Diceros bicornis minor: one gene and its partners. The protein of the gene in region 1 interacts with the protein of each later gene in a biochemical or structural test. Links are inferred from orthologs where the notes say so. Each region holds a gene or a part of one and is shown on either strand. Other genes may lie near its edges.

Region 1 (7,254 bases):
CCATCCTGTAAAGGAGCCTTTGCCCCTCGGCCTATGGATGGGGTAAGCAAAGCCCTTCAAGTGGGTGCATCACTTCCTCAAGGTCATCTAGCCAACCACATGGCTGGGGTCTGCCTGACTCCCAAGGCTTGCTTCCATGTTAGCCTCGGATGAGTAAGAGGCCTGTGTTCAGACACAGCCAGAAAGAACTGGCACGGTGACAGAGCATCTCCAGGGACAGTAAACCGTCAGTCAAACAGAGAATTCAGTGTAGCAACAAGGGATCATTCGAGACAAACGTGATGCTGCAGACATAAAACTCCCCACCTCCCTCTGCCAGAACTCAACAATGGATGTCTCTGTGCCCCTTAATAAAATTAAGTCACTACAGAATCATTTCTCCCAATTATGCACTCGTTATAATGATGGGATGTTCCTGTTTGGAGATTTTTTTTTTTTTCAAGCTAAGAGTGTATGTTTAGGGAGGTGGTATATGTAGAATAAATAACTTTGAATTATTTGTGTCTTTTGTCAAACTTATTAATGAGCATATTGTGCAGGTACATAGAAATAATTCTGACTCTCCCACTGGACTATGAGCTCCAGGTATCAGAAATGGGTCTTTTTTGCTTCCAGCTGTTTCCCCAGCACCTAGCATAATGCTGACACATAGTAGGTACTGAATAAATATCTGTGGTTTGAATGAGTGAGGCTCAGAGCAAGTGAATTGACTCGTCCAAGGTCACACAGACCAAGGTTCCTTTTGCATCCACCTGATTTAGAAGCCCATGCTAGGGCCGGCCCCGTGGCTTAGCGGTTAAGTGCCCGTGCTCCGCTGCTGGCGGCCTGGGTTCGCATCCTAGGCGCGCACAGACGCACCGCTTCTCCGGCCATGCTGAGGCCGCGTCCCACATACGGCAACTAGAAGGTTGTGCAACTATCTACTGGGGCTTTGGGGGAAAAATAAATAAATAAATAAATAATTAGAAGCCCATGCTATCACTTCTACACTATCCTGCCTCTTGGCAAGAATCGCGGGGAAAATGTCTCCAGGCCCAGGATCGTGGGCCCAGGAGCTTACACCCCTTTGGACTCCTCTAGAGTAAGGAGTTGGTGGAGGTGGTGATGGGGGTGAGCACCTGCTAACTGAGCCATTATCCACCATAATACCTTTTGGAAACCACACATTGTAATCTTGACAGCCCGAGCCTAGCTCTTGGGGTGTTTACAGAGGATGACATGGTATGAAGGGCAGGCCCTCCCGGGTTTTGCAGTGAAACAGGCCAAGTTCTCATCTCAGTTCTGCTTTGCGACCTTGAACTGCACTTCCTTCCTCCTGCACCATGTGGATAAACAAGCCTCACTTATGGGATTATCAGATTGAAAGGAGATTATCAATGGAAGTGGCTGCCCAGTAACTGTGGATGTTCTGGAAGCCTCCCAGCCTGAGGAGAACTGTTGATGTTGAGAACAGCCTTATCAGGCTCTGCCAGGCTTGGGGCCAAGGGAACCCATCTCTCAGGCCTTTGCTGCTTTCAAGTGGGTATTAATAGATACAGAATGCCCTTATCTCTTCCTTGATTTCACACTGGGAATTCTGATCTTCGCTCCTTTCTGCTGCAGCAGAACAGGAGAGATGGTGGGAAGGAGAGCACTGGCTTCTACCTGGGAGGCTGTGTACTTGAATACTTTGGGGAAAGGCAGGGCTTTGAAACACCTCTGGCTTTAGCCTCACCAAGCCTGAATAATAGCCTTTCATATGCTAGGTAAGCTTGTGCCCTTTGGGCCTCAGTTTCCTCATCATAAAATGGGGCAATAATAACAATATCTGTCTTTTCCAGCAACCAGTACAGTGCTTGGCACATGGCACGTGCTCAATAAGTGTTTGTTGAGTGACTATTGGGTATGAGAGTGCTTTACAAAAAGTGAATGTTACTGTTATTGAGACCCTTTGGGAAGGTGTGGAGGAAGGAATCTCCATCTGGAAAGGGAGTGTTACTGGCTTATCTCACCCTCTGTCAGGGTCTGGCTTGGTTATTTGATTTTATTTTATTTTTTTTTTGTGAGGAAGATTAGCCCTGAGCTAACATCCAATGCCGATCATCCTCTTTTTTTGCTGAGGAAGATTGGCCCTGAGCTAACATCTGTGCCCATCTTCCTCTACTTTATATGGGACGCCGCCATGGCATGGCATGGCATGACAAGCGGTGCGCTGGTGTGCACCCGGGATCCGAACTGGCGAACCCTGGGCCGCCAAAGCCGAGTGCGTGCACTTAACTGCTTGAGCCACCGAGCCGGCCCCCTGGCTTGATTATTTTAAATGAGACCTACCATTCCAATAGTAGCTTCTCTAACCGGGGAGGAGAAGGGGGACAGGCTGGCCCCAGGAATGGGAATCCAGTGTAGGCCCCATTCTATCACTGGCTGGCTTCACAGGTCCCTACCCCTGAATGGGCCTCAGTTTTCCCATCTGTGCAGCAAGAAGCTTGTGTAGTCTTTGTGGTTCCTTCTAGTGCAGACACAGTCTAGGATCTGCAATGAGTGATTTCACAAACTGCTTAGGAAACTCCTGCTGCTTTCCTAAACCACCTCATAATTTATAAAACACTTTCAGATCCCTTAGGCTTTTCATCCTCATGGCAGCCCTGGAAGGGGCCAGGGCAATGTGCCCATTTTACAGATGAGGAAACTGAAGCTGAGAAATACCCTCAAGGGGCTGTAATTTGAGGCTGCACCACACATTTTGGTTATACGGGTATACCAATTTGTTCTCAAATGGGAAAAGCACAGAAAAATCACCTGGAATGGGGATCGGGGGCTGCTTGTGAAAATGTGGATTCCTGGGCACTTAGAGATTCTAAATTGGCAGGGCTGGGGTGGGGCTAGAGTTAACAAGTGCCCAGGTGATTCTGAAGCCAGGGGCCTAAGGACTACTCTTGCAGAACCAAGGCCTCCTTGTGGCATTCTAGGTGGCCTCTGGCATCAGCCTCTGTGTTTCTTTCCTAACCCTTCTAGGTACCTGCTCTGGGCCAGGCCAGTGTTGGGAAGAGGCCCCAGTCTGGTAGGGGAGGTAGATGGAGAAACCCAGTGTGTGGTCAGTGCTGGAACAGAGGCAGCATCAGGCAATGGAGGACTCTGGAGGGCTCCCTGGAGGAAGTGATGTTCATACTGGGCCTAGTGATTTGATTCTTGTTTGTGTCTTAACTACTTTTTTTCTTGTGGGTCATCCCCACCAGATGGCAGGCAAATTCGTGTAAATCATGAATTTCACATCTCTGCCCTCAGTGCTGGCACAAGGCCTGACAGAGGAGGGGACAATATTGGTCAAACCAGCTGACCTGCACAATGAGAAATGGCTGATGGAGAGGTCCCAGGGCCTCCAGATTAAATGCATTTTCATGCTCAGCACCCTCACCTGCTCCCTTGGTGAGGTCTAACATGGAGTCACTTTTATGGTGGAAATTCCTCATCGTATCGTAAACATGTGTTACCTCTCTGTTCCCCTCCTCCCTTTTTCACTAAACTGCGAGTTCCTTAGAGCCAGGAGTCAAGAATGGGGCACAGAGCAGGCTGTCTAAACGTTTGTTGAATGAATGAGTTCAAGCAGAAGCTGTGTATGGGCTATTGAAGGGATTCCAGCTATAAGGGAGCTTGCAGGAAAATCCCAAACTGTATTAGGCCAGAAGTCCCACCCCCATTTCCTAGCAGCCCCCTTCTGCTTGGGCTCTGGGTGACAGGGGCTTTGGAGGTGGGCCTGAGAACCCAGAAAAGAGGAGGGGCAGTTTCTAGAGATCTGGGCTGAGGGTATTGGGGCTACAGGTGGGGGAGGGGTGGGTCGGGGGGGTCTGGGGGTCACGTGGGGTCTGCTGATGGTGAGATGTGCAGAATAGACGCTCAGTCCTAAGGTCTCCACAGAGGATCAGCAGCGTGAGGTGTGTCCGGGGGCGGGGCCACCACGCCTCGGGCCGGGGCCGTCCCGGCTGCGCGCGGGGAGTGCTAACGCGCCTGGCACCGCCCCGACAAAGCCTGCGCGCGCCCGGTCCCGCGATTGGTCGCGCCGCCTCGCGCCGCCGCCCCGTCCCGCCCTCCGCCGCCGGTCCGGCGCCCTGCAGCCAATGGGCGCCGTCGCCGTCGCCTCCGTCACGGCCCGGACGGCCAATGGTGGCAGCGCTCGGCGGCTCGTGGCTCTTTCGCGGCAAAAAGGATTTGGCGCGTAAAAGTGGCCGGGACTTTGCAGGCAGCGGCGGCCGGGGGCGGAGCGGGATCCGGAGCGGGATCGAGCCCTCGCCGCGGCCTGCCGCCATGGGCCCGCGCCGCCGCCGCCGCCTGCCCCCCGGGCCGCGCGGGCCGTGAGCGCCATGGCCGTGGCCGGGGCCCCCGCGGGCGGCCCATGCGCGCCGGCGCTGGAGGCCCTGCTCGGGGCCGGCGCGCTGCGGCTGCTCGACTCCTCGCAGATCGTCATCATCTCCACGGCGCAGGACGCCAGCGCCCCGCCGGCCCCCGCCGGCCCTGCCGCGCCCGCCGCCGGCCCCCGCGACCCCGACCTGCTGCTCTTCGCCACGCCGCAGGCGCCCCGGCCCACACCCAGCGCGCCGCGCCCCGCGCTCGGCCGCCCGCCGGTACGGACACCAGGGACTCTGGGCTGAGAGCGCTGCCTCGACCCCCCGCGCAGACCCGGGCGGGGCGCGGTGTTTGGCCCGGAGGCCGCGGGGGCGGGGGAGGGGTGGGCTGAGGCGCCCGGCCTGGGCGGTGCCGAGCCTGGGCTGAGCCTCCGGGCCCCGCCCCAGGGTGCGGGGTGACCTCGGGCCAGTCCTTGTTTGCTTCTCTGTGCTCTGGGCCTCAGCGTCCTCACCGGAGCCTCGCGTGGGTCAAACTCAGAGATAATAATGGCCCACGTGTATTCAACTGGCGCAGACTGCATGTCAGGCCTGGCAGACTTCGAGCCAGCTAAAACTCACAACCATACTGAGAGCTCGGTGACCCATCTGAACTGAGGCTCAGAGAGGGCAAGTGACTTGCCCCGGTCACACGGCTGCAAGTGGTGGGACTGGAATTTGAACTGAGGGCTGCTGGCTTCAGACCAGAGCTTGTAGCTGAGTAGTGGGCATGGCTGCTTGGGGAGGTGAAGGAGGGTGTCCTGGGGCCAGACCGTTGAAGAGCCATTGAGGAGATCCTCCTTCCTGCCTCAGCGCTAGATTGCCAGGTGCAGGCCTGGGCCTCTGGGGACAGGCCTCCTGGCTGGGAGGCCTTCTCTGCAGGGGCGGGGTGGCTGGGCCAGCTGCTGATCCCCTCCCTCTGCCTGTCCTTCCATCTGCCACCCTCCACCCGCCCAGGCTCTGGTTGCTATGGAACCTCATTAATCAGGCAGGCAGACCCCTCTGCCCCTGTGGAAGTACTGGGTAGGCTGGGCCTCTGGGAGCTGGAGAGGAGGCCCCCCACCGCAAGGAGAGAGTAAACATCCCTGGGAGATGCCTTGATAAAGTGCTCCCTGAACAGCAAGAGGCTTAAGACCAGTTCAATCTGGGGGGTCCAGAAGAGGTGGGGGAGAAGGGAGTGGAGGCCTGATGCTTGGACTTGTGGGCTGCAGGACAGGGTGTGGAGACCAGTTTGACTGGCACAGCTTGTGAGTGAAGGTGGGGCGAGCAGGAGGGGTCTCAGCAGGGGGCTTGGAGCAAGTGGGAGGGGTGAGGCAGGGCCCAGCGCAAGGAGGTGGAAGCTGCCCAACTGCTGATGGGGGCCTGGGTGGCAGCTGGTCCCTGAGGCATCCCGGCAAGGCTCCCCCAATCTCCTTGGCTCCATGCCCAGTGCTGCCTTCCGGAATCACCAAGATGCTAATACTAATAACAATAGCAGCCACCATTGTTTTGAGACTGTTTTGTGTGTCAGGCTCTGTGCCAAGCACTTTACCCAATTAACTTGTTTAACCCTCTCAACAACCTTCCCCTTTTACAGATAGGGAAGCTGAGGCCTAGAAATCTTAGAACCTTCCCTAGTCATTCAGCTAGTGAGTGGTAGGACCAGTCCAAATTTCCCGAGCAGTTAACTGCTGTGCTAGGATGCCTTGCCTCCTAGAGATGCTAACAGATTGAAGGAAGCCCAGGGCCCCTTCCTCCTACTGAGTGAGGAGGAGGGGGTCCCAGGATTGGGTCACCTGGCTTGTCTCCTATATCCTGGTGGCTTGTCCCTGCAGGTACCAGCTTGGGACCTGGACAAGTATCCTCCATTGAGCTGACTGACAAGTACATACAGGCCCAGGACTGTGGGTCCTGCCCTCAAGGAGCTGAGCTCCAGGCTCAGAGATACTTCCAGGGATGGGGCTGAGGAAACGTGCCCTCCGCTCCACCCCCAGTGGTGTTGGGGCAGCCTCACTGGGCCTGAGCAGTCCATTCATTCAACAGTTGTTGAGTTAGTGCACGCCCATTAGGTACTAGGCACAGAGGCAAGTAAGGAGCCTGTGCCCTCACAATACTTAAGGGCTAGTGGGCATTTTCTGCTGGTGGGCAGGGATGGGGGGTCAGCTTTTGCCCTCTAACACCCCCAACTCTTGTGCCTTTGAGTAGCCGCTGGCTGTATGCGCTGTGACCTCCGCCGACCCTCTGCACTGGCATTTGTTTGGGGCAGTCCTTGAAACAAGCTACAGGCTCAGCTTCTGCACCAGTGCGCATTCATAGAGCATCTCCTGCATACGAGGCTCTGCAATTCAGCCATTCCTCCTGGCTCTTCGTATCCACCTCTACCCTGTTGTCATGGCTTTAAAAAACAAACTAAATATAATACATATTTACTGTAGAAAAAGAGTTAAGAGGTGAAAGTTGAAGGGGGCAGGATCTCAGCCCCATCCATCCTTCCTTCTCTTTTCTTTTCCTAAGCCTATTTTGTGTGTTTTTTTAAAGGTGGTTATGACAGCTTTCCTTTTCCAAAGTTTTAAAAATTGTAGTTTTTCCTTTATTTCCGTGTTCAGACAGTGCATTGTTCACACTTTACAGAGAAGGCAACAATTCCTCATGGAACCTCTCCCCATACGGAGGTTCCTCCTGAAATGGATTCTATAATAACAGAAACCGAATCAGAGAAAACAGGTTTCAGGAGTTTTTTAATCCAAAAAGGGATCATATAAGTGCATTTCCCTATAGCATTTTTCTTGTCTTTGAGAGGATTCTGCGTCGACCTGCCTCAGTCCTTGACAGCTGCTGGTATTCCTGGGGCTGGATGAATCACGGTTTTTGTGGCCCCCTCCCGTGGATGGGCATTTTGGGTCATGAGATTTTTCACCAG
Region 2 (7,825 bases), about 3.1 Mb from region 1:
ACTTTGTTGCACTTTCTTACATTTATTTTGTAGTTGAGAATTGTTTATATTTTGAATTACATTTGGGAGGGGGTGCACTATAATCTTTTAAGTCTTGGAGCCTCTAAAAGTTTTAATCAAGCTCTGGACACATGCTCTGGGGAACTCTGAAATATTAAACTACAACAAGGAGGCTAATCATAGAGGCTATCACACAATGGGATCAAAATAGAAACAACCTTCACCATGTATCTGGATCCAAAATGAAGGACAGAGTAAATCTATTTCACTTCATGTTCTATTCAAAAAAGCTCAGTTTAGTGTTAAATGGGCATGCCACTGGATAACAAGAAAAAAATTAAAACCAACATGAACCATGATAAAAAGTAGGGAGAGCATACTGATAAAACGGGGGGAAAAAAAAAAGCATGCAGGTAAGGCTGGATCTGATAGATGTGTCCTCCATGCTAAGCTCCCTAAATTTGATTCAGCCGGTAATAGTGAACCCCTGAAGAGTTGTGAGAAAGAAACTGACACGATATAAATCCCGCTTGAGAAAAACTAGAGTAGTAACTAAATATAAGATGGATTGGAAGAGAAAGTAAAAAATGTTGAAAGACAACTAGAAACCTGGTAGAGGAGGAATCCGCAAGATTTAGTGATTAGGTGTAGGGGATGAAGGAGCAGGGGAGTCAGTGATAACAAAGAGGACAGCACGGTGCTTGTTTTTGATGATTATGGCAGTACTGTTTATTGAAAACCAATGATAGTTTAGTTACAATCCAAAAGAAGAAAAAAAAAAAAAAAGAGCACTGCTTAAATCTGCTTTATTTCATAAGAGAAATAAGAGAATTCAAGAATATTTTCCTGGGCCGGCCCTGTGGCTTAGCGGTTAAGTGCACACGCTCCGCTGCTGGCGCCCGGGTTCGCATCCTGGGCGCGCACCGATGCACCGCTTCTCCGGCCATGCTGAGGCCGCGTCCCACGTACAGCAACTAGAAGGATGTGCAACTGACATACAACTATCTACTGGGGCTTTGGGGGAAAAAATAAATGAATAAATAAAATTATTAAAAAAGAATATTTTCCTCTTATCCTGGCCTCATTTCCAAAGCCTGTACTTTCTAATAATTCAATTCCGGACAGTCTGAGAACATGGCAAAAGGAAAAGTCACAGAAGCGAGTGATTGATTGGATGTAAACGGTGACAGATCAGGTGAATCAAAAGATAGGAGATGAAAATGGAAGGCTTTACACAGACAGGATACAACTTACTGAAAATCCAAACTTAGAGCCCAAATTCAGTCCTGAAGAGAAGAAAAAAACCTATAATGTTTCTCAGTTTTTGTTTAGTGGATGACCTTTGAGAGGTGTTTCTTTTGTTCTGGGATCATTTTCAATCCAGCAATGCCCCTCAATTCAAGTCTGGATGATCTGATAGTCACAGCAAAGGAAGAATCAGTATCTTGCACACTGCAAGCATTCAGTAAACATTTGTGGAATGAAGAAATGAAGGGTCTTCAGGACTTAGTATGCATAAAGTGGAAAAAGAATCAGGAGAATCAAATCCAGTAGCAAAGAAGAAATGGGCTATAGTACATATACTGCAACTCACCAAAAACCTAACTACTAAAGAGATGAAAAATAGGGCAATGAGTCTCTGATTTTGTTTGGTTTATAATTCCTGAGAGCTATTTCCTTCTATCTTGGTTTCTTTTCAAGGCCAGAATCACCCTCTGCAGTTCAGATCTGGATAAAAAAGAGATTGATTAGTTATAGCAAAGGAAAAAAACTTGAGGCTTCTCAGCTCTTGTGATCCTATCCAGGCCCAGCTGTGAAAGCTGGGATCCTATGGGGTAGACCTACTTTGATTCCATTTTTCCTCAAAAATTCTGTCATGATGTTTGCATTTGACAGACTCAGCGATATTTCTCAATAGTTATTCCAAATCTTTACCACTCTCAACTCCCTGCTGCATGTTGCTCTATTTTCCACTCAGCAGAGGACCTAGCAGGTCTGTTTAATCTAGATGTAAGGTGATAACCTTCCAGACAGGAGCTATTTAGAGGAAGGACAGGCTCTGGATTTCCAGCTTGGCCACCTTTTCCAGGGCGTGGCTATATCAATGATCTTTTTTTTAACTTCAGTCTCTCTCTGCCTGCTCCTGTTCCTGATTATTCACATGCTTGTGTTTTCCCTATCCTAGAAAATCCTCTTCCCTTTGCCTTGCCTCCACTAAACTTCTTAAAGAGAAGTTTTTACTTCCTACTTCAACTTTCTGATCTTCCTCCCATTAGCCCCTCAGCCTCAGTAATCTGGCTTCCACTCCTACTGTGCTAAAGAAAACTGCTCTGACAAAGGTCACTAAAAACATATGAACGATAATATTGGAGGTCTTGTTTGAATTCCTCATCCTATTTGAGTTCTCTGCAGTGTTGGACTCTATGGAATACTTCTTGCCTGCCCTCAGATACCGCTCCTCGTTTTTATACCTCTCTGGACAGTTTTTTGCACACTCCTCAAATTCTGCCCATCCCTGAAATGTTGGTGTTCCTAAAGGTTCTACCCTTGAGTCTCTTGTCATGCCAACACACTCCCTGAGTGATATGAACCTGCTCACTTGGCTTCAGATACTGCGTGAATATTTCCAAACCCATGTCCAGGCTGTCCCCAGTCCTGGAGCTTTCTCCTAAATAAGCACAGTAGGTTAATTAGAAAACAAGTGAGCTACTACAGGAGGACCTTCATCCATCTCACCTCTACTAACCCTGCCATTTCTTTGCTGACAAGAAAGGAAGTTGAGAGCAGGGATGATAACCCCTGTTATATACCCCTTGGCACTGGAGATAGATCTCCCCCCAACTGCCCATAACCACTCCTCTTTAAATAAACAAAGACTCGTGGGAGGAGAGTCTCTGTGCAGACACTATGCGCCAGCATCCTCTCCAGAGAATAATGAGATGGTCCTGAAGTCAGCTGCAGCGGTAGCTTCTAGAAGGAAACAGAGTTGGAAGTACCACACAGGTGGTTAAGTTTGAGTTTTTTGGGGGGAGTTTGAGTTTTTACTCATTTGAGACCTGACTTGTGGCTGATTCCCAAGTTGCACCCTCTCTATGTGTGGAGAATGCAGAAGATTGGAAAATTGCCAGGAGAGAGGGGCTACCTTCCAGGATCCGACTGCCTCCTCTTAAACTTCCTGCAAGCATCCCAAACATTTCCAGAACTGATCTCATTCTTCTGCTTGTACTCCCATTCCAGTTAACAGCATCACTTTTCACACTCTTGGCCCAGATGGAAACCTATGTTATTGGGGACTCCTCCCTCTTCAGCAGTGACCCCCTCAGTTCTACACCAGGGACCCCCACCTCCAGCCTGGCTCCTTCCTCTGCTGGATGAGCCCCCTACCACTTCCATACTTCTAGTCTCTACTCCATCCAAACCGTCTCACACAGCAGCCAGAGGAACCTGTTCAAAACACACACCAACTCATCACCTCCCTTTGTTAAAACCCCACTGATAATGTCCAGGCTTTTAGTGGGGCGTATGAGGTCCTTGGCAACCTACCTGTCTTCCACTTTCATCTCTGGTGACTCTTTCCTTCATCCAAGCAACAAGGGGCTCTTTGTAATCTTTCAAACACATCATGCTAAGTACTGAGTGACACTAATCTAAACTTTGGAATACAGTCAACATGAAAGGAAGGTCCCTGCTCTCATGCAACTCATTTTAGTAGGAAGAGCCAGTGAATAAACAAATAAGATAATTTCAGATAGTGATAAGGTGCTATGAAGACAACAAAATGGGGATGTTGGGGGGCAGGGGGCAGCTACTCGGGAGACAGCGCTCAGGGATGGCCTGAGAAGGTGACATTTAGTTGAATGATGAGGGGAGCCAGACAAGCAAAGATATGGTGTTGAGTATTTGGAGCTGTTTGATCAGCATGTGAGAAAGGCCTTGAGGCAGGAACCAGCTTGGCAGCTTGGCATTTTCAAGGTTCCGAAACAAAGCCGTGAGGCCGGGCCTTATTATATACCCGGGTGGGACAATGCCCCACGTGAGGTGGGGCCAGATCACACGGGGCCTTCTAGACCATGGAAAGGAGTTTGGATATTATTTTAATGGCAAGAGGAATCTACTGCAGGATTCTGAGTGAAGCAGTGACATGCTCTGATTTACCTTTTAAGAAGAGCACTCTGGCTCTTCCCGGAGAAGAAGTTTTGGTGGAGCAGAAGCGTAAGCTCCAAGGCCAGGCCAGGCCTTCAGGCTTATGCTCAGGCCATGCCTAAGCCTGGAATGACTGTCTACTGGGACGGTTCCCAGGGTCCAGTGGGCTGAGAAAGGGCCTCCTTACTGCAGTTCTCTCAGCCCAGGCCAAGCCTCGTTTAGCGATCAAGGAGAGAAGAGGAGGTGTTCCCTACCATCCCTGCCTCACCAACCCTTCAATCACTCGACAGACCACTCACTGGGCGCTGGAGACAAGGACGAGAGTCCGACGAGGCCCCCCACGGTCAAGGGACGACTTTTTTCTGTTCTCACCTCCATCTCTTAACTCAAGGGGCAAGTCTCAGTCAGACTATGTTTGGCGCAGCAGGGCAGTGACAAACCCAGGCCCATGGGTTGGCGGGGCAAAGGAGGCTTCTCCCTAAGATGAACGAGGCCACCTCGCAACAGGCAGCCCAGGCCTTCCCAGACCAAAAAGCCGCGGACACAAGGGCGGCGCCGCTGCCTTCAAGACAGGAAATGGACTACAACTCCCAGCACACTCTGCGCGCGGACTGCCGATCCCTCCGCTCCACATTTGCCCCGCTGGCTGTGCCCGCCGCTGCCCGCCAAGGCTCAAGCTCAGGTTTTTTTCAGGACCCAAGGTCCATCTTCTTATCACATTTCCGGAGAGGGACGGCAGGGAGCCCTGGAGGACAAGCGGACTTTTTTGAGGAGGAACGCGGATGCAGACTGTGGAAGAGACGTTGCTCTGTAGCTGCCGATTTTCGCGCGCTTTGGCGCGGGTGGTTGTGGGTAGCGCGCCCAGGAGGGAGAAAGGAACCGGGGGCTGTGACTGCGCCGCCCGCAGGGCCTGAGGGGATGTTCGAGGACGAGCCCCACGCCGAGGGGGCGGCGGTGGTCGCCGCGGCCGGGGAGGCGCTGCAGGCCCTGTGCCAGGAGCTGAACCTGGACGAGGGGAGCGCGGCCGAAGCCCTGGACGACTTCACCGCCATCCGGGGCAACTACAGCCTAGAGGTGAGCGGCGCAGGTGGGGCGGCCGGACAGACCCCCGCCAGGCCCCACCCCCGCCCCGCCCCTCCCCACCCCATCCTCTGGGGTGGTGGGAGTTCCCCACCCAGGAGGGTCGCTGCCCTGCCGGGCGCCGAGAAGTGCGAAGCTGGAAGGGCGGGTGCAGATTGATCGATCCTTTTTTTTTTTTTTCTTTTTTTTGAGGCGGGAAACTGAAGTCCGGAAAAGGAGCTGCTTGTCCAATGTCACACGCCCCTCAGGGGTCCCCTAGACTCCAGACCAGACTCCCTCCGCCCCGCCAGGCGCCACAAACGTCATGGTACTCCCCTTAAATCGATTAAAAAAAACAAAGGATGGTAAAAACTAAAATGAATTGTGTGCCGAGACGCCACTGCCAGCGCCACTGCAGCCCTGGAACAGGTTCCCCTTCCACAGATGAGGAGGCTGAGCCCCGAGAGGCGAAGCTGCCTGCCCGAGGACACAGGGTTGGTGGTGGGGCCGGACCGAGGAGTCTGGGCCACTGAACTTCGCCGTCTGCCTCGCTAGGGCGGAGGTGTGCGATGCTCGCGCTGGAGCGCTGCACGCCCCAGCATCTTGATCTGTAGTACTTGGATGCTGTTTCCCAACAATTCCCTAATCAAGCCTTCCAAAAACATTCCGCCTAAGCTGTCCTGCCTCGTTTAATGCCTTGAGCAGACAAGACCTCTCACCACTTTAGGGTGGGAACACTGGGTTTTAGCTTTATTGGTGGCCGCCCTTTTCTACCCACCCCTTTCGGATTGTTGCAAGAAATCTTTTTATCCTTCTAGAGTCTGGCCTTAAAGAGGATCTGCAGAACAGTAAATAGGAGCAGTATTATGTTGTGCTGTGCGATTTGTATCTAATTCTTTGTGTGTGTGTGTGTGTCTAATTCTTAATCCCTAAATTTCACATAGAGTTCAGCGATGAAGTCATCAAGTGATCCTAGCTTGGAGATGTCTCAAGTCTAAAGCAGAGAATTAAGTGTTGAATTCCCAAAAGTCATCTTTTTTGTAGCACTGTAAATCGAGATATCTGCTAAGATAGAGAGCCATACTTACTGTTTTAAAGATTGGAGTAAATCCTCCAATTTTTACCTCACAAAGGTGACACTCTCCTTTATGTTGTGCAAGATAGGTATTAATTTTTTATATGTGACTCCCTTGCCATCTTTCTACTCCGTCCTTTGCTTTCTCTGCCAAACTTAAAAAAGAAACATAAAACTAAAGTGGTAGAAAGGAACATCAGCATCAATTAAGGCCATGACTGGTGTTTTAAAATTGAGAAAGCTAATGCTAAGAAATTTTAAGAGAACTCTTTCAATAATGCTAGATTTGAAGTGTAGGTGAGAGATCTGTCTTTAGATTAATACTGATTTAGCCTGTTACACTTTACTGAGAGGAGTTTTGTACCCGTTACTGCAACTAACTAAGCTTTGTCACCAAGAGCAAATATCTTCACCTCTTTGACCTGTTACATGCAGAATGAAAATTAGACCAGACAATTCTAAGGTCTCTTCTGGTTCCAGAATTTAAGCATTTTAACATAATATATGCATTTTGCTGTTTGTCTTTTGCCTGCCAGGGAGAAGTTATACACTGGTTGGCATGTTCATTGTATGTTGCATGCCGCAAAAGCATTATTCCTACAGTTGGAAAGGGTATCATGGAAGGAAATTGTGTTTCACTTACCAGAATACTACGTTCAGCTAAGTTAAGGTAAAGCACTTTGATTTTTCAAACGTTGTTTTATATAAGTCCTAAATTTAATTTTAGAATTTAATTTCTCTTTATTTTAAATCATTTAACTTCATTTCATTCTAAGTTTTTTATCATATATGCATCCTTTCCCAATTCTCAGCCTTTCTTCCTCAAATTCTGACTTCAGCCAGAGGCCTCTATACTAAATCTTTTTTATCTGTAATTTTTTCATTAATTTTTTTATATCTGGAAATAATTTCAGGCTTTCAGAAAAGCTGCAAAAATAAGAAAAGTTCAAAGAACACCCATATATTCTTGACCAAGATTGACGTATTATTGACGTTTTACCCCATTTGCTTTGTCATTGAGCTTTCTCTGTTCAATATGTATATCTTTTTGGCCTTTTTTTTTTTTTTTTTTTGGTGAGGAAGATCAGCCCTGAGCTAACATCCATGCCAATCCTCCTCATTTTGCTGAGCAAGACTGGCTGTGAGCTAATATCCGTGCCCATCTTTCTCCACTTTATGTGAGATGCCACCACAGCATGGCCTGACAAGCGGTACGTCAGTGCACGCCCAGGATCCGAACCCCGGGCTGCCAGCAGCGGAGCCCAAGCACTTAACCACTACACCACGGGGTCTGCCCCTCTTTTTCTCTTAAGTAATATTTTTCCTCAACCACTTCAAAGTAGCATACGTTGTAGCCCTTTACCCCTAAATACTTCGGTGTGTATTTCCTTAAATAACTACAGTACACTTATCAACTTCAGCAAAGTTAACATTGATACAATAATTTTATCTAATCTGTCATCTCTAATCTAGTTTTATTAGTTGATCCAATAATGTTATTTATAGCATTTTTTTCTTCAAGTACAGTCTCCAGTCTAAGATCAAGTA
Region 3 (7,459 bases), on another chromosome or scaffold:
TGAGGCAATGGGTGTAAGCGTGGTATTGCTGCTGCTGGTCTGCCCCAAGGAAACACCCTGCATTGGGGCCAAGGTGATTGTCTGGGCCTGTGGGTTCTGGACTTGGAGGTTCTGCAGCTGAAGAGTCTGCCAACTAACCTGTCCATTGGGCCCCACTGTTGGTGTCCGGATGATGATGGGACCAGAGTTTGGAACAGCCTGAAGCTGGAGGTTCTGGAGGGTTTCCTGGGAGATAGCTTGAGTTGTAAAGGTCTGCCCTGACAATGGTGCTGCTTGGAGGGCCTGGAGGGCCTGTCCCCCTTGAACTAGCTGAGGCTGGATAAGAATTTGTTGTTGTTGCTGCGTCTGCTGGTTTTGCTCTCCCTCTTTTTGCTGACTTGCTTGCAGTGAGCCTCCAGATGTCTGGTTCTGCTGGATGCTCAGAGCATCAGACCCCTGTAGCCCACTGACTCTCTGGGGTGTCTGACCTTGAGAGTTGGTCCCTGCTGATCCGCTGGTGGTAAAGTTCATAATTCCCATGTTGCTGGTGGTAGTAGTTGTTGAATAGCTATTGGCATTGGTGAAAAAGGAGCTGGAACTGGCTTGTGATGATACCAAACTGGCAGAACTGATGGCAGTCCCTGAGGTGACAGGCTGTGAGCCGCTCTCCTGGGACCCAGAGCTGCTGATCGTGACTGCCTGAGAGCTAGGAGTCAAAGTAGCTGCAGAAACGCTATTGACAGGTAGCAAAGTGATATTCCCATTCAGGGCCACTGGTACATTGGTCACATACTGAGTCTGTCCTGAGAGTACATTATTAGCCAGGCCTTGGAGGGGAACAGCCTGCTGGAGTAGATTTGGCATAGCAGCAATGATGTTGCCTCCACTTCCTCGATTTGTGATGATCTGTTGGTTTGCACCTGGTATGATCTGTATTTGACCAGAACCATCCTGCTGCACTTGGGCCCCAGTGGCAGCAAACTGCAGCTGTTGCCCATCTACGGTCTGGAACTGTGGGATTACTTGATACTGAATATTAGGCATCACTCCAGGTAGTCCTGTCAGGACTTGCTGGTTCTGTAAGTTGGAAGTGGCAGCCACAACATACTGCCCACCAGAGACGGTGCGATTCTTGGAAGACTCGCTGCCATTGCTGCCATTGGTACTGCTGCCACCCTGTTCCTTTGAGGTAGGGGTAGCCCCAGAGGAGGAAGAGATGATCTGCCAGCCATTGGCACCCTGTGAAAGTTGTGTGGCTGTGAGGTCAAGCTCACCTGTGCCCCCTGACTGGTTTGGGCCCTGGGAGTTGTTACTGTTTTCATTGGGTGACTCAATTCTGCTGCAAGTTGCTGCCAGCAGAGCCAAAGGGGATGGCTGAGATTCCTGGCCAGAAAATACAGAAGAAAGTAGTTAGTTTAGTGACACCCAGCTGCCAGCCCAGAGGGCAGTATACAACAAATAAGCAGCAACACAGTGCAAACAAAGAGCAAAAAAACACAACCAAAACCTGACCTATCTATATCGCTAAAATTCTCATCTTTGGGGATCTCCAAGTCACTTGCCTTTCTGGGCTTACTTCCCTATCTATAAAATGGTTCAGCCTCTTCCTAAAAATTTTTCTGTGAAAAGGAAGACAACCATCTAAGAATACCTACATCCTCTCAACACCTTCCCCAACTGTATCCTGATCATCACTTACCTGCCCTCCTCCTCCTCCACTGCTGCTGCTACTGCCTGTGCTGCTGCTTCGAGCCTGAGAAAAGGCACCACCACCATTACCATTGCCCCCATTATTGCCACCAACGCCTTTTTCAATCTTCACCACGGCTGTCATTTCATCCATGGAGTGATCTTGATCTACGAGGAATTAAAAGACAAACAACTTAAAGTCGGGGGAAGGAAAAGGGTAAAGCGAGGAAGGGTAAAGGAGACTATGATGAAACAGAAATGACTAACAGGAAGGTGAAAGGCGCCAGTGTGAAAAAGAAAAAAAAAAAAATGGATTGGGGGAGAAAGGACAGTTATAAGACGTGTAAGACCTGAACTAGGCCCGGTACTGCCAAAACTGGGCCTCAATTCTCCCTTGCACAAAACTAAACTCAGAAAACACTGAAAAAGTACTTCCCGTATAAGAAAGGTGAGGGGCGGTGGGCATGTTGAAAGAGTTCCAAAATAAGAAAAAGTATTCTGGGGAAAAAAAGGAGAAGGATAGGTAAAGCAAAAAACATGTGGGTGGATGGAAAGCTTGCTAAAATTAGGGTCAAAGATGGAGAAAGAGGAAAATTCAAGTGTAAAAAGGAACAAGAGGAGAGAAGGGGAAAAGGGGAAAGAAGAGCTAAGTGTGAGTGGGGGAGCATTTGTGAACACTGGTGAGGGGCTAAAGGAGTCCAGGGGTTAGAAATCAGGAGGTTTCGGGGCGGATGGAGGAAGGCGGACCCTAGAGGGAAAGGGCGGTTTCGGGGTGAGGGGCGTGGAAAGGGCGGGACGGGGGGGGAGGGGAAACCTACCGGGGGGGGGAGGGCCTTGGGGCAGGCAGCGACGAGAGGGCGAACCAGGGAGGCGGTTGGCCCGGGCGGGGCCTGCACTGCTCGGGCCGCCCCCGCGGCTCCAGCCCCCGGCGGGAGGAGCCTCAGGCGGGCGGCCGAGTAGTGGGGGGTAAGGCCCGTCCCCCGTGGCCGGGGCGGGCAGGGGGCGGGCGAGGCCACGCTGCCCCCTCCCCCGGGGCGGGCGGCCCATCCCCCTCCTCCTCGGAGGCCCCGCCACTGCCCTTCTCCCTCCCTTCCCTCCGCCCCGGGCGGGACCAAGGCCGCCGCCGCCGCCTCCCGCCCGCCCCCCCTCACGGCGGGGACCGCCCGGTCGGCCCTCGCGCGCGCCCCCTCACTCCCCTCCCACCCCTAAGCTTGGAGTGGACTCATCCTTACCGCTCATGGTGGCAGCTGAGGGACGAGCTCAAGGGGGTCCTGTCCGGGGGGGTTGGGGGGGGCCGGGAAAAACGCGGACGCTGACGAGGCAAGCGAACCCGGACCGGACAGGGAGGGGGGGGGTAAGGAGGAGGGAGCAGCGCGCCACAAGCCCGGCCTATGCCCCGCCCCACTACTGCTGCCCCGCCCAATGAGGGAGGGAGAAAGGAGGGACTTGCAGAAGAAAGGCGGGCAGATTACCCAATGGCAAGACTCGCTTGCTCTCTGAGGCGTGTAAGACAAAGTTGCGTGTCTGGTGTCCGCCCAAAAAGGCCGCCCTCTCAGTGTTAAAAGCCAATGAAAGACGAAGGAAGTGGGGATGGGCGGAAGCTACAGATGATAGGCTTGGAAAGAAACCAGTCAACAGGCAGGCGGGCTGCCTCAGACGTAGGGATAGGAAGAGCTTTGATTGGAATGACAGAATAACGACCAACCAGAACCCTGGACATGCCTGGGCAAAGTTCTGGTGGGACGAGAGGTAAGAAGTAGGCAGCAACGGGATAGGAAGCTGATCGAAACCAATCAGAAATCAGGCGGGCAGCCAGGGAAGTTATGATTGGATTAACACTGAAAAGAGACAAGATAGGACGCAAATTGACGTAAAGCAAAGGCCAATTAAACGCGGAATGAACTCTGAGGGCGGGAACGTGGAGTGGGCAGAGGAGAATTGGCGTCTCCCTCAGTCACTCAGTCCAATGAGGCGGCGAAAGAAGCCAGGCACCGCCTCCAACTTGGCCAATGGGCGTTACTAGAGCCGCCGGTCGTGGGGGAGGGAACAGGGCTGTGCCAGGAGGAGTCCGTCGCCATATTGGACCTTCTCAAGGGACGTCTTTACAGGGATTAGGTGGTGCGCGTCAGCGGAGCCTTGCAGCTCCACAACTGTATGGGCCACGACACTCGGCGTGCGCTTATGCCTTGTCACCCATGCTCGTTTGAGTCTTCATTTAACCGCCCTTAAAAGTCCTCTCGGGCCTCACCCCTCCCCGGGGTGGGCGGACAGGCAGGCAGATCCTCTGAGTGTGGGTGTAAGCCCTGTGGGTGCAGACGCCACGAGATCTGGCGACGGCGCGCACACAGCCAGTGAACACCGAGCTGACAAATTTGCAAGGTCTTTGGGAGACTCCGGCAAGCGCCATTTTATTGAATTCCCCCAGAGGTGCTGACCACTTCACTTAGGGCGGGTGGACTTTTCAAGAGCTTGTCTCCTGAGGCTAAAGTGCATTGGAGAATCACCCAGAGTCAAGGTCCCATAAGCCACTTACTTTTTCCCCCTTAATTGTAAACACTTTTCTAAGCATAAAACAAGATAGAGAGGATTCCTGCTTTTTGCAGCTACAAAGGTTGAAGGAGTTTTTCCCCGAAGCACCTGAATTTCTGGCCTCCCATTCTGCCTCTCCTTTATCCTAGTTTTGGTGGAGGCAGCCTGGGTGGCTTGGCAATGACATAAGGAGGTCATTCTCTGTAGTACTTGTATCTTAGATGTTGTCACTTCATTTTCTACAATTTCAGCACTTCGTGATATGTTGTGAGGTTTTTAAGTCTGGATTCCCCTAAAACTGAGGCCTCTGCTGCTTTGGACAGGGCCTGAATAAGGTGAAATGACTGTTGAATGCCTACTGTGTTAGGTGCCTAAGTCAGTTAGGCGTTTTGCATTCCTTATGTCACCCTCATAAGGAAGATATTAGTAAATACTAGAGCTATTATGTATTTTATAAGTGAAGAAATTTAGGCTGGGAAGTAACTTGCCCAAGGTCACAAAGCTAATGAGTTGTAGTGCCAAATTCCAACCCAGAATAGTCCCACAAAAAGTCTTCTATAAATTCTTAAGTGAATATAGCAATGCCCTGTATAACCATTTATAAAAATGGACTTAATTAAAAAAGTTTTTTTTTAATTGTTTATAAAAAATGCTTTTTTATTGTTACCTTCTAGCTCCTGAAAAAAAAAATACTTTCAGGACAGCTCAGATGGCATCATCCTCTTGTATAGTTTTATTATAAAACATCACATTACATTCTAATTGAAAGCAGCTCTCCCTAGATCAAAGTTTCTCAAAATATAATGTCAGGGAGTCTCTATCTGAATCCTCTGGGCTGCTTTTTTTTCTTCTTTTTTTATGAGGAGATCAGCCCTGTGCTAACATCTGCCAATTCTCCTCTATTTTTGCTGAGGAAGACTGGCCCTGGGCTAACATCCGTGCCCATCTTCCTCTACTCTACATGGGACGCCGCCACAGCATGGCTTGCCAAGCAGTGCGTTGGTGCGCGCCCAGGATCCAAACCGGCAAACCCCGGGCCACCACAGCGAAGCGCGTGCACTTAACCGCTTATGCCACCCGGCCGCCCCGTGGGCTGCCTTTTTAAAAAGGTGGATTCCTAGGGCCAGCCCCGTGGCTTAGTGGTTAAGTGCACGCGCTCCGCTGCTGGCAGCCCGGGGTTCAGATCCCGGGCGCGCACCGCTTCTCCGGCCATGCTGGGGCCGTGTCCCACATACAGCAACTGGAAGGATGTGCAGCTATGACATACAACTATCTACTGGGGCTTTGGGGGGAAAAATAAATAAATAAAATCTTTACCAAAAAAAAAAAAAAGATGGATTCCTAGACCCCCCTCTTGGACCTAATAAATCAGATTTTCTGGGGTGGGACTTGAGAATGTGCATTTTTTAAGTAGCTCTTTCAAGTGACTGCCTAAATTGGAGTTTAAGAAACACTAAAGGAAGAGACTAGAGAGATGAAATTTTCAGAAGGGAAGGAACTTCCTGGAGGGAATGAACTGCATTACTCATCTTTGTAAACCAAGCTCTAGAGATTCTAACAGCTGGTTAGTGTATTCAGCAAAAGACCACATCTAAACTTGAGGGGGAGGTGGTGGGACGCAGGACGACTAAGATTGTGGAGCAGTCCTCTGAACGTTTCACATATATTTTCTAACTTAATCCTTTCACCCAATCTAAGAAACTGTAATCCTCTTTTACAGATGAGAAAACTGAGGCTCAGATCCTTCAGTTAAATTATGACTTCTGTTTAGTTTCCAAAGCTTGTGTATTTTCCATGGTTCTAAGCTAGTCCATGCCTGAAATGGGAACTAGGATTTGATTTTATCCCAGGCACTGAGAACAAGGCTTAGATTTAGACTGAGAAATTCAAGAGCCATCATCCTAGAGGGGAAGAGGGGAGGAAGGCAGGCAAAAGGGGTAATTAGGCCCATGTGTATGGTGATGGATTATAATTAGTTTTTGGGTGGTGAACATGATGTAATCTACACAGAAATCAAAATATAATGACATACACCTGAAATTTTTTTTTTTTTTTTGTGAGGAGATCAGCCCTGTGCTAACATCCGCCAATCCTCCTCTTTTTTTGCTGAGGAAGACGGCCCTGAGCTAACATCTGTGCCCATCTTCCTCCACTTTATATGGGACGCCGCCACAGCATGGCTTGCCAAGCAGTGCATCGGTGCGCGCCCGGGATCCGAACCAGCGAACCCCGGGCCGCCGCAGCGGAGCGCGCGCACTTAACTGCTTGCACCACCGGGCCGGCCCCTGAAATTTAAAATAAACTAAAATAGGGGCTGTTCTGGTGGTGTAGTGGTTAAGCTCGTACACTCTGCTCCTGCGGCTCGGGTTCGTGGGTTTGGATCCTGGGCGCGGACCTACACACCACTCAAGCCATGCTGTGGCAGCGTCCCACATACAAAATAGAAGGAAGACTGGCACAGATGTTAGTTTCAGGGCCAGTCTTCCTCACCAAAAAATAAAATAATTTTAAAAAATAAATATAATAAAAAAAAATTCTGTCTTGTTAAAAAAAAAAAAAAGAGCCATCACCCTTTTCACAATACTCTCTCTTTGCTTCTCCAGAACAAGACAGACTTCAGACCCTGGCCAGTAGGGATGTCCTCAACATGTGCTCGCTTATTGACAGTCCCTGAAAGCAAATGGACATGATCCATCTTTTCCAATTACTCTGTGAAAACCTGAATGAATTTTCTTTAGACTAAACACAAAAAAACAAAAATGAATAAACTTATTTCAAGGCTTTTCAAACCCCTCACATGCCAGTGTCCGTCTATACTCGTGAAGTCATTTAAATAACTCCTAATGACTGTGTTTAAAAAGCAAAGTGGATCATTTGAGAGTTGTTTCACTTCAAAATCACTCATAAGAACACGAATTATGCCTGGCTGTAACATAGTAAGCCTCACATGTACTAAGTGGTACCGTTCAACATGGCAGTCAAGGCTCTTATTGGTCTGCCCTGCACTTATTCAGGCTCATCTTCCATTTCTGTCCACTGCACTCTTTTACCCTTCACTTCATTCTTGTTGACATTTTCCCCAAAAGCATGCTTTCTTGGGTCTCCCAAGTCCAGAACCACAGTTCACCCATCTTGTCCTCCTTCTGGTCTACCAAACTCTTAAACTCTTATCTTTGATAAGAACGACGACTTTTTTTTTTTTCCCCCCCAACGCCCCAGTCCCCAGTAGATAGTTGTATGTCATAGCTGCACATCCTCCTAG
Region 4 (7,928 bases), on another chromosome or scaffold:
GTTTCCAAACTTCTGTGCCTTTGCACGTGCTCTCACCTCTGCCTGGAACATCTTTCTCCTTTTACATCTCTATACTCCTACACCTTTCTTCAAGACTAGGGTCAGCTTTCAGCATCGATGGAGCCTTTGCCTAAGCCACCAGAATGAGTTTGGTTGCCTTTTCATTTTCTTCTGTCACCCTCTGCTTCTTTTTGCTCTTCTACACACATTACATGTAATACCTCATTTAATCCCTACAACAACTGTTTGAGGCCAGTGCTATTGTTATTCCAGTTATACAGATGAGAAAACAGAGGCCCAGATACATTAAGTAACTTTATTCAAAGTTATAGAGTGATTAAATGAAAAGTCTAGGTTTGAATCCAGGCAGGCAATCCAATTCTAGAGACCATATCTTGAACACCTACCCCACTCCATGCTCCACCCTTAGCCTCTGAGCTTGTTGAATGAATGAACAAGTGGTAATCTTTTTTCTCTGCCAATGCAGCATAAACCTAAACAAGGCCATGACATTCTCAGGGAAGAAGAAAAGTAAGTTTGGGGGTGATAATAAGAATAACCAACAAACTTTAAAATTTACAAAAGCTCTTTGACATACATCTTCTTATTTTATCAACTCATGAAATATATTATGATTCCATCTTACACACGGAAAAGAGCTGAGACTGGCATAACCAGCACTGGCATCTTGGGCTTCATATTTTATTTCTTCTGAGGTTTTGCCCCTTAGGTCTGAGATAATATGGAAGGGTAAATTGGGAGTGTGGTAGGTTCTTTAAGAGAAAAACTAGGAAAGCTTTCACACTATTATTAACTACATTTTATGCAAGATTTCTAATGGAGTATTGGGTCAATTTCCAGAACAAAGGGGCCACACCCAAGGATACCATAATCTTTTGAAAACTCTACTGCAAGTGCTAGAGCTAGTAGTAGACACATGTCTAAAACCTGTTCTTGGGAGAAGCCAAGCTCCATGTCTGCATATAATGCACCCAAGGGATATTTTTATATGGTTCCATCAGCCATCAATGTCCTTCAACAACAGTCTGATATATTGCATAAGGTTAAAACAGTTCTTTTTTTTTTTTTTTTGGTGAGGGAGATTGGCCATGAGCTAACATGTGTGCCCATTTTCCTCTATTTTGTATATGGGATGCTGTCACAGCACGGCTTGATGAGCAGTACGTAGGTCCGCTCCCGGGATCCGAACCTCTGAACCCCAGGCCACCAGGGCAGAGCGTGGAAGCTTAACCACTACGCCACCAGGCCAGCCCCTAAAGAGTTCTTGATATAGGAATCCATAGTTGAGTTTTAGACGAATTTCTGAATTCCCTGTAAGTTATATTCAGAAATGCATGTGCAAGGAAACACACTTTTTTAAAAAAATTATTGCATACTTTATTTTTTGAGGAGAGGGTCTACGGCTTTCAACAGATTCCCAAAGGGGCCTACTCACCCTGCCCCAAGATTAAGAACCATTATTTTAGTGATGGAAACTAATTTTGATCTTGGTCTAAAAGCCAGACATATTACAAGGGAAATCTGTTCCCTCCCTCCCATCAATACCTTAAGCTACATTGAAAGAATTTTATGTTCTCTACCACAGTTTGAATTTTCCATACCATTGTTGTCCAAATAATTGAGAGGTACCTGGAGGAAAATATAGATAGCACAGTAATGCACAGTGGATTTTTATAACAGATTTGACATCCCACCTGTTTTAATTGGCATCATTTTAAAAGCAATTGAAAGTACAGTCAGGTATTCTGGGTCTTCAAGAGATGTTAACCAGGGATTGAAACATAACTTTTAAATAGAGCTGGGTTATCTAGTAGGCAGATTAAGCATATCCTTAAGGCATCAGCAAAGCCTGAGTAATTCAATTTTTTTAAAAAATCTATATTTTTTTAAAAGTGTAAAAGTAATAACCATGGGAAAAATTAGAACCTTGTTGGATTTTCTTTCACTTGTTATGCTCTTAGTTCTGTTTAACTTTTCATTACATACGAGGGTGGTGGAGGGTGTCTATCATCTTTTCAGTGATTCAGGTCTTCTTGGGCTTCCCTTTTATATACTATTGATAATTCTATCAAAAGCATGTTCTTCTCTGTGCCTCACAACAAGGTTGCAAGCGAACCCTCAAAATGGATAATTTAAGAGCTAACTGGTATTAGCTTAGGATGTGTGGCACTGTTTTAAATGCTTATATGTACATCAATTCATTTAAAACTCACAACAGCCCTATGAAGTAGGGACCACTCAGCCCCCTATTTTATAACTAAGAAAATGGTAAGATTTTTCCAGTAGGAAGGAGAGGTGTAGGGGGAGGGAGAGGAGCAGCCCCAGGACAGTGTGTGAGCCTGGTCTCTGAATCACTATGCAACTCTGTCTCTAGAGTGCTAAGCACTTTTTCTGATCTAGGAGGGATTATTTATTAAGAACGGAGTCTAGGGAGCCGGCCCCATGGCGTACTAGTTAAGTCCAGTGCACTCTGCTTTGGCAGCCTGGGTTCAGTTCCCAGGCACAGACCTACACCACTTGTCAAGCCATGCTGTGGTGGCCACCCACATAGAAAACAGAGGAAGACTGGCACAGACATTAGCTTAGGGCTAATCTTCCTCAAGCAAAAAAAGAAGATTGGCAACAGATGTTAGCTCAGAGCGACTCTTCCTAGCCAAAAAAAAAAAAAAAAAAAAAAAAAGAATGGAGTCTATCTGAAAGTAAGACCAGAAACTATAAAACTCCTGGAAGAAAACATAGGCAGTAAGCTCCTTGACATTACCCTTGGAAATTTTTTTTTGGATCTGATTCCAAAGGCAATGGCAACAAAAGCAAAAATAAATAAGTGGGACTACATCACACTAAAAAGCTTCTGCACAGTGAAAGAAACCATCAACAAGATAAAAAGGCAACCTACTAAATGGCAGAGGATATTTGCAAATCATATATCCAATAAGGGGTTAATATCCAAAATATATAAAGAACTCATATAACTCTATAACAAAAAAAATCACACAATCTGATTTAAAAATGGCCAGAGAACTTGAATAGACATTTTTCTAAAGAAGACATACACATGACCAATAGGCACATGAAAAGATGCTAAACATCACTAATCATCAGGGAAATACAATCACAACCACAAGGAGATACCACCTCACACCTGTCAGAATGGCTATTATCAAAAATGACAAGTGTTGGTGAGGATGTGGAGAAAAGGGAACCCTCAGGCACTGTTGGTAGGAATGTAAATGGTGCAGCCACTTTGGAAGAGTATGGAGGTTCCTCAAAAAATTAAAAATAGAACTACCATATGATCCAGCAATTCCACTTCTGGATATTCATCCAAAGAAAATGAAAGCAGTAATTCAAAAAGATATATGCACCCCTATGTTCATTGCAACATTATTTACAACAGCCAAGATGTGAAAACAACCTAAGAGCCCATCCACCAATGAATGGATAAAGAAGATGTGGTGTATATAGATATATACACATGAAACACTACTCAGCCATAAAAAAGAATGAAATCTTGCCATTTGCAACAACCTGGATGGACCTTGAGGGTATTGTGCTAAGTGAAGTAAGTCAGAGACAGACAAATACTGTATGAGTTCACCTATATGTGGAGTATAAAAAAAAAAATACAAAACTCAGAGAACAGATTGGCGGTCTCCACAGAGGTGGGAGGCTTGAGACTGGACAAAACGGGTGAAGGAGACCAAGAGATACAAATTTCCAGTTATAAAATACATAACTCATGTAATGTACAGTGTGGTGACTATAGTCAATAATATTGTAATATTGCAAATTTAAAAGTTGCTAAGAACGTGAATCTTTAAAATTCATATCACAAGAAAAAAATTTTATAATTTTACATAATAACAGATGGTAACTAGACTTATCGTGGTGATCATTTCGCAGTGTATACAAATATCGAATCATTATGTTGTACACCTAAGACTAATATAATGTATGTTAGTTATACTTCAAAAAAAAAGCAAATGGAGTCTACCAGTCCAATGACCCCTTTGCCACTTTCCTCTCTGCTTATAGGCAGAAATCTCCACCATCCCTGTTGAATAGACCTCATCTTCTGGGGGTCAGCCCTTATACCAGGCACTAGTACCAGGCATTGCGCAAGTCTGGGAGACTCTCGCCTCCGACATCCGTTTTACACGTGTGTGTGGGGGAGGCAGGGGAAAGGCTGGCAGGCGGGCAGATTCTCCAAAATGAACGTTTGAATTAGGATTTCTGGCATTGTGGACCCAGCAGGAGAAAGCCAAGTGCTGAGTGGTGGAGAAGGGAGCATGTCCTCTAAAAGAAGGGAAGCCTCATAGTCATACCGTGATACCGACTCTCAGCCGTTTCTTCTGATTAAAAGAGGAAGCAATACTTTGCCTATACTTCAAACACCCTGGTTCGAACATGGCAGTTAGGAATCCTGTGCAGCTTTCTAATGCCAAGGGTTTGTACAGGGGAGGGAGGAAACGAGGGAGAATCTGCGCCTTATGAAGTGAACTCGCTCGAGCCCCGTGTGCGCCTGTGCTGGAGTGGGGAGCGCAGCGCGGGGAGGAGGGGCGCGGGGACGCGGCAGAGGCAGGTGGGGAGGGGCCCCGGGCGCCCTGCCCCCTCCGCTTCTTCGGGCTGCTGGCACGGATTGCTTCCGGCCGGTGCCCCCGGGCGAGCTGCCCACCGGTGACGGCAGAGGCCCCGCGCGGGGCGACTTCAGGAGATGTGACATCTGCAGCGTGTTCCGAGCCCAGGGCGCCTCCTCGGAGAACACTTGAACGCGCTCCCGCAGGGGGAGTCGAGGGGCAGAGTCGGGGGCCGGCGGAAGGCGGAGGCAAGAGGAGGGGCCGGCTGGTCACGAGAGGCTGGGGCGGGCCGGTGGCGCTCGGCGGCGGCGGGAGGGAGGGAGAAAGCGAGGGGCGAGCGTTGGGGAGCAGCATGGAGTCCTCCGCCGACAGGTTGGCCACCGCCGCCGCCCGGGGTCGGGCCGAGGAGGTGCGGGCGCTGCTCGAGGCGGGGGCGCCACCCAACGCGCTCAACCTTCACGGTCGGAGCCCGATTCAGGTGAGTCGGCGGGAGGAGGGGATGGGGGCGGCTATAGAGGACGAGGTTTGCAAAGGAGTCGGAGCCAGGTAAGCGCTTCGATTCTCGGTAAAGGGGAGACTTCCTGGAGAGTTTTCAGATGGAGTTTGGAGTCGGAGACCTCCTCTTGGCGACGCCTCGGGGGCTCAGGGAGCCACGGGAGAAATGAGGAGGCACGTGGAGTGCAGATCTCTAGACTGGACTGTAGATTTGGAGGGGAGAGCCTATTTGTGTTAATATAGACCGAGATGTGTTCTTTGTCAGACAAAATGTACGAACGTTTGAAATAAAACGCAAGATTTTAAAGAAATCTAAGATTTGCTGAGACTACTTTGCTCGAACTCACAGAGTCCTCAATGGAGCCTACCATCTTTCTTGCGAGGGGAGATTTCAGTGGAAATCTACTACTGTATATGTTGGAATAAATGTCCATTGGAATTATTCAGAAGCAACTACATATTGTATTTATTATTTTAACTGAGTAAGGAAAACATATGCTTGTGAAACTAGGAATTACAGACAGATATATATGAAGAAAAACATTAGTGTGACCTAGCCTGAAATGATATCAATTTAATTACCATTTTGGGGGTATCTCCTATTATTTTTGCTATTTTTAGCTTACTTGATATAGATTAACATATTTGGGGTAGAGTTTTCAATTCCTCATTTTTGAGAAATGCCTTTTTTCTCCTCCCTACCCTAGTTTTGTGTGTGTGTGTTGGGGGGAGGGGGATTGTGTGTTCTTGGTTGTTGTTTGCCTTCGCTAGCTTCCTAAATTTCAGACTAAAAACGAATTCTTCCTGGCAGTCGCCACCCTAGTTTTATTCTTGGTGTCGACAGTGATTTCTGATTCTGAAAAATAAATTTATAGGAAACAAATGCACGTTGCAAAAACTCCAGCATAACAAGACAAAGGAAAGTAATTCTATTTGGAACTTCACAAATTTCACAAGCGAATCTTCCTTTCCTAACTCTATGCTACATAGGATAAATTTCATACATTTTAAAATACAGAAATAAAAAACAAAACCAAAATGCCTTAAAACTTGAGATTGTTTGAGATTTGAAGTGTGGAGAGATGTTGAGACTAGAGAGGTTGCGTGAGGGTAGAAGTGAGGCATGAGTCCTTTAAAAATAAGGCACACATGATTCTTAATTTGATATCTCTAAAATTTTGCCAGCACCTTGGAGACTGGGAGTTTGGCCTTGCAGTTCTAGAATATGTTAGAAGAGACTTTATTTGTTTACATACAAAAAGAAAAAAGGAAGTTGGATAATTAGTTTTCACAATTTTTTAAATAGGGAAGATAAGAGCATAGAGAAAAGGGGACATGATTTTGGTTTAGAACACTAACCAAATTTGTGTTTAATATAAAAGTACTTAGTTTATAGAAATTACTAGTGAATTTTATTCTATTTTATTAATAGGTTATTTTAAATTATTAAATTAAATTTAATGTCTTATCAAATAGATTTAAGCACACTACAAATATTCATTTAATTGATTCATTTAATTTTTTGCTTTGGACTGCTATTATTATTATTTAAATATTAGGTTACTTTTCAGTCTTTTTTTTTTCAATTATTTTATTGAGGTCATAATGGTTTATAATGTGCTATTTCTTAGTCTTTAATACTGTAAAACATAATAAAAACTTTTAAAACCAGTTTTATGACCAAGATGAAGGACTTCATTGTATAAATTTTTTTTTATCCAATTTTCATTATATTTTCACCTGCATTGTATACAGATATGGAGATTGACCTCTTCCAAGAACAGGTTTTAGACATGTATATACTAGCTCTGCCACTTGTAGTAGAGCTCCCAAAAGATTACTCACTCCATAATCGATTAGAAATCTTGTGTAAATAAGTAGTTAATAATAGTGTGAAAACTTTCCCAGTTTTTCTTTTAAAACAGTGCATTGTTCTAATGCAGTACAATAGTTTTTCTTTCTTTCTGTAGCTGTAATTTAGTTCATTTACATCTTCTCTCTGTCTTTTTGAAAATTAAATCAGTTTCACTTTCTCCAGGACAAGAATCAACAGCCATAGTATAATTTATTATGATTCCTTGCTTTCAACAAATTAAGCAATTCGTATTTAATACAGAATGAAACTAAAAATAAGTACTCTCTCTTTATACAGTCACTATTGTACAGCTAGTATAACCAAATAATGGTTACCCTAAAAAAGAATTTTCTACCACCACCACCCACCATGCAACGCTTAGATTGCAAGGTTGCTGTGGACACTATTTAAAAATTCCTCTTTGGTAATGGCTTTGTGTCAGAGATAATTGAGCAGCTAAATGAGGTGAGCACCTCCAGTTTAATGAACTTCCAAGGTGTAAACTTTAGAAATGTCTTAATTTCCTATTTCTGCTGTAACAAATTACCACAAATTTAGTGGCTTAAACCAACATAAATTTATTACCTTACAGTTCTGGAGGTCAGAAGTCTAAAATGGATCCATAGGGCTGCATTCCTTTTGGAAGTTCTAAGGGAGAATCCATTTCCTTGCCTTTTCCAACTTTTAGTAACTGTCAACATTCCTTGGCTAATGGCCCCTGCATCTTCTTTCTGACCTCTGCTTCTATTCTTATATCTTCTCTCTGACTGTGACCTTCTTATAAGGAGATTTGTGATTACATTGGGCTCACCCTGACAATCCAGGTTAATCTCTCTCGAAATCCTTAATTTAATCATATCTGCAAAGTCCCCTTTGCCATGTAAGGTAATATATTCATAGTTTTTGAGTATTAGGAAGTAGATATCTTTGGGGGGCATTATTTAGCTTACCATAGGAAGGAATTTGGGGGCTGGTTACAC

The links.
Region 2: the proteins of E2F1 (region 1) and RBL1 form a complex in vitro, tested with the Homo sapiens proteins (2 studies listed by BioGRID). The link is inferred for Diceros bicornis minor from reciprocal best matches to the Homo sapiens genes E2F1 and RBL1.
Region 3: the proteins of E2F1 (region 1) and SP1 form a complex in vitro, tested with the Homo sapiens proteins (4 studies listed by BioGRID and IntAct). The link is inferred for Diceros bicornis minor from reciprocal best matches to the Homo sapiens genes E2F1 and SP1.
Region 4: the proteins of E2F1 (region 1) and cyclin-dependent kinase inhibitor 2A-like form a complex in vitro, tested with the Homo sapiens proteins (2 studies listed by BioGRID). The link is inferred for Diceros bicornis minor from reciprocal best matches to the Homo sapiens genes E2F1 and CDKN2A.

Annotation. Positions count from the first base shown.
Region 1 is NC_080758.1:26,081,898-26,089,151, forward strand, and holds the start of E2F1 (transcription factor E2F1), read left to right. Parts: upstream 1-4,245; 5' UTR 4,246-4,337; coding exon 4,338-4,598; intron 4,599-7,254. UniProt on the Homo sapiens protein: Transcription activator that binds DNA cooperatively with DP proteins through the E2 recognition site, 5'-TTTC[CG]CGC-3' found in the promoter region of a number of genes whose products are involved in cell cycle regulation or in DNA replication.
Region 2 is NC_080758.1:22,932,595-22,940,419, forward strand, and holds the start of RBL1 (retinoblastoma-like protein 1), read left to right. Parts: upstream 1-4,811; 5' UTR 4,812-5,061; coding exon 5,062-5,217; intron 5,218-5,415; exon of another isoform or gene 5,416-5,527; coding exon of another isoform or gene 5,528-5,530; exon of another isoform or gene 5,531-5,564; coding exon of another isoform or gene 5,565-5,696; intron 5,697-6,813; coding exon 6,814-6,947; intron 6,948-7,825. UniProt on the Homo sapiens protein: Key regulator of entry into cell division. Directly involved in heterochromatin formation by maintaining overall chromatin structure and, in particular, that of constitutive heterochromatin by stabilizing histone methylation.
Region 3 is NC_080756.1:16,909,863-16,917,321, forward strand, and holds the start of SP1 (transcription factor Sp1), read right to left. Parts: upstream 3,015-7,459; 5' UTR 2,908-3,014; coding exon 2,901-2,907; intron 2,348-2,900; exon of another isoform or gene 2,019-2,347; intron 1,837-2,018; coding exon 1,679-1,836; intron 1,363-1,678; coding exon 1-1,362. UniProt on the Homo sapiens protein: Transcription factor that can activate or repress transcription in response to physiological and pathological stimuli.
Region 4 is NC_080761.1:44,432,238-44,440,165, reverse strand, and holds the start of cyclin-dependent kinase inhibitor 2A-like, read left to right. Parts: upstream 1-4,914; 5' UTR 4,915-4,950; coding exon 4,951-5,076; intron 5,077-7,928. UniProt on the Homo sapiens protein: Acts as a negative regulator of the proliferation of normal cells by interacting strongly with CDK4 and CDK6. This inhibits their ability to interact with cyclins D and to phosphorylate the retinoblastoma protein.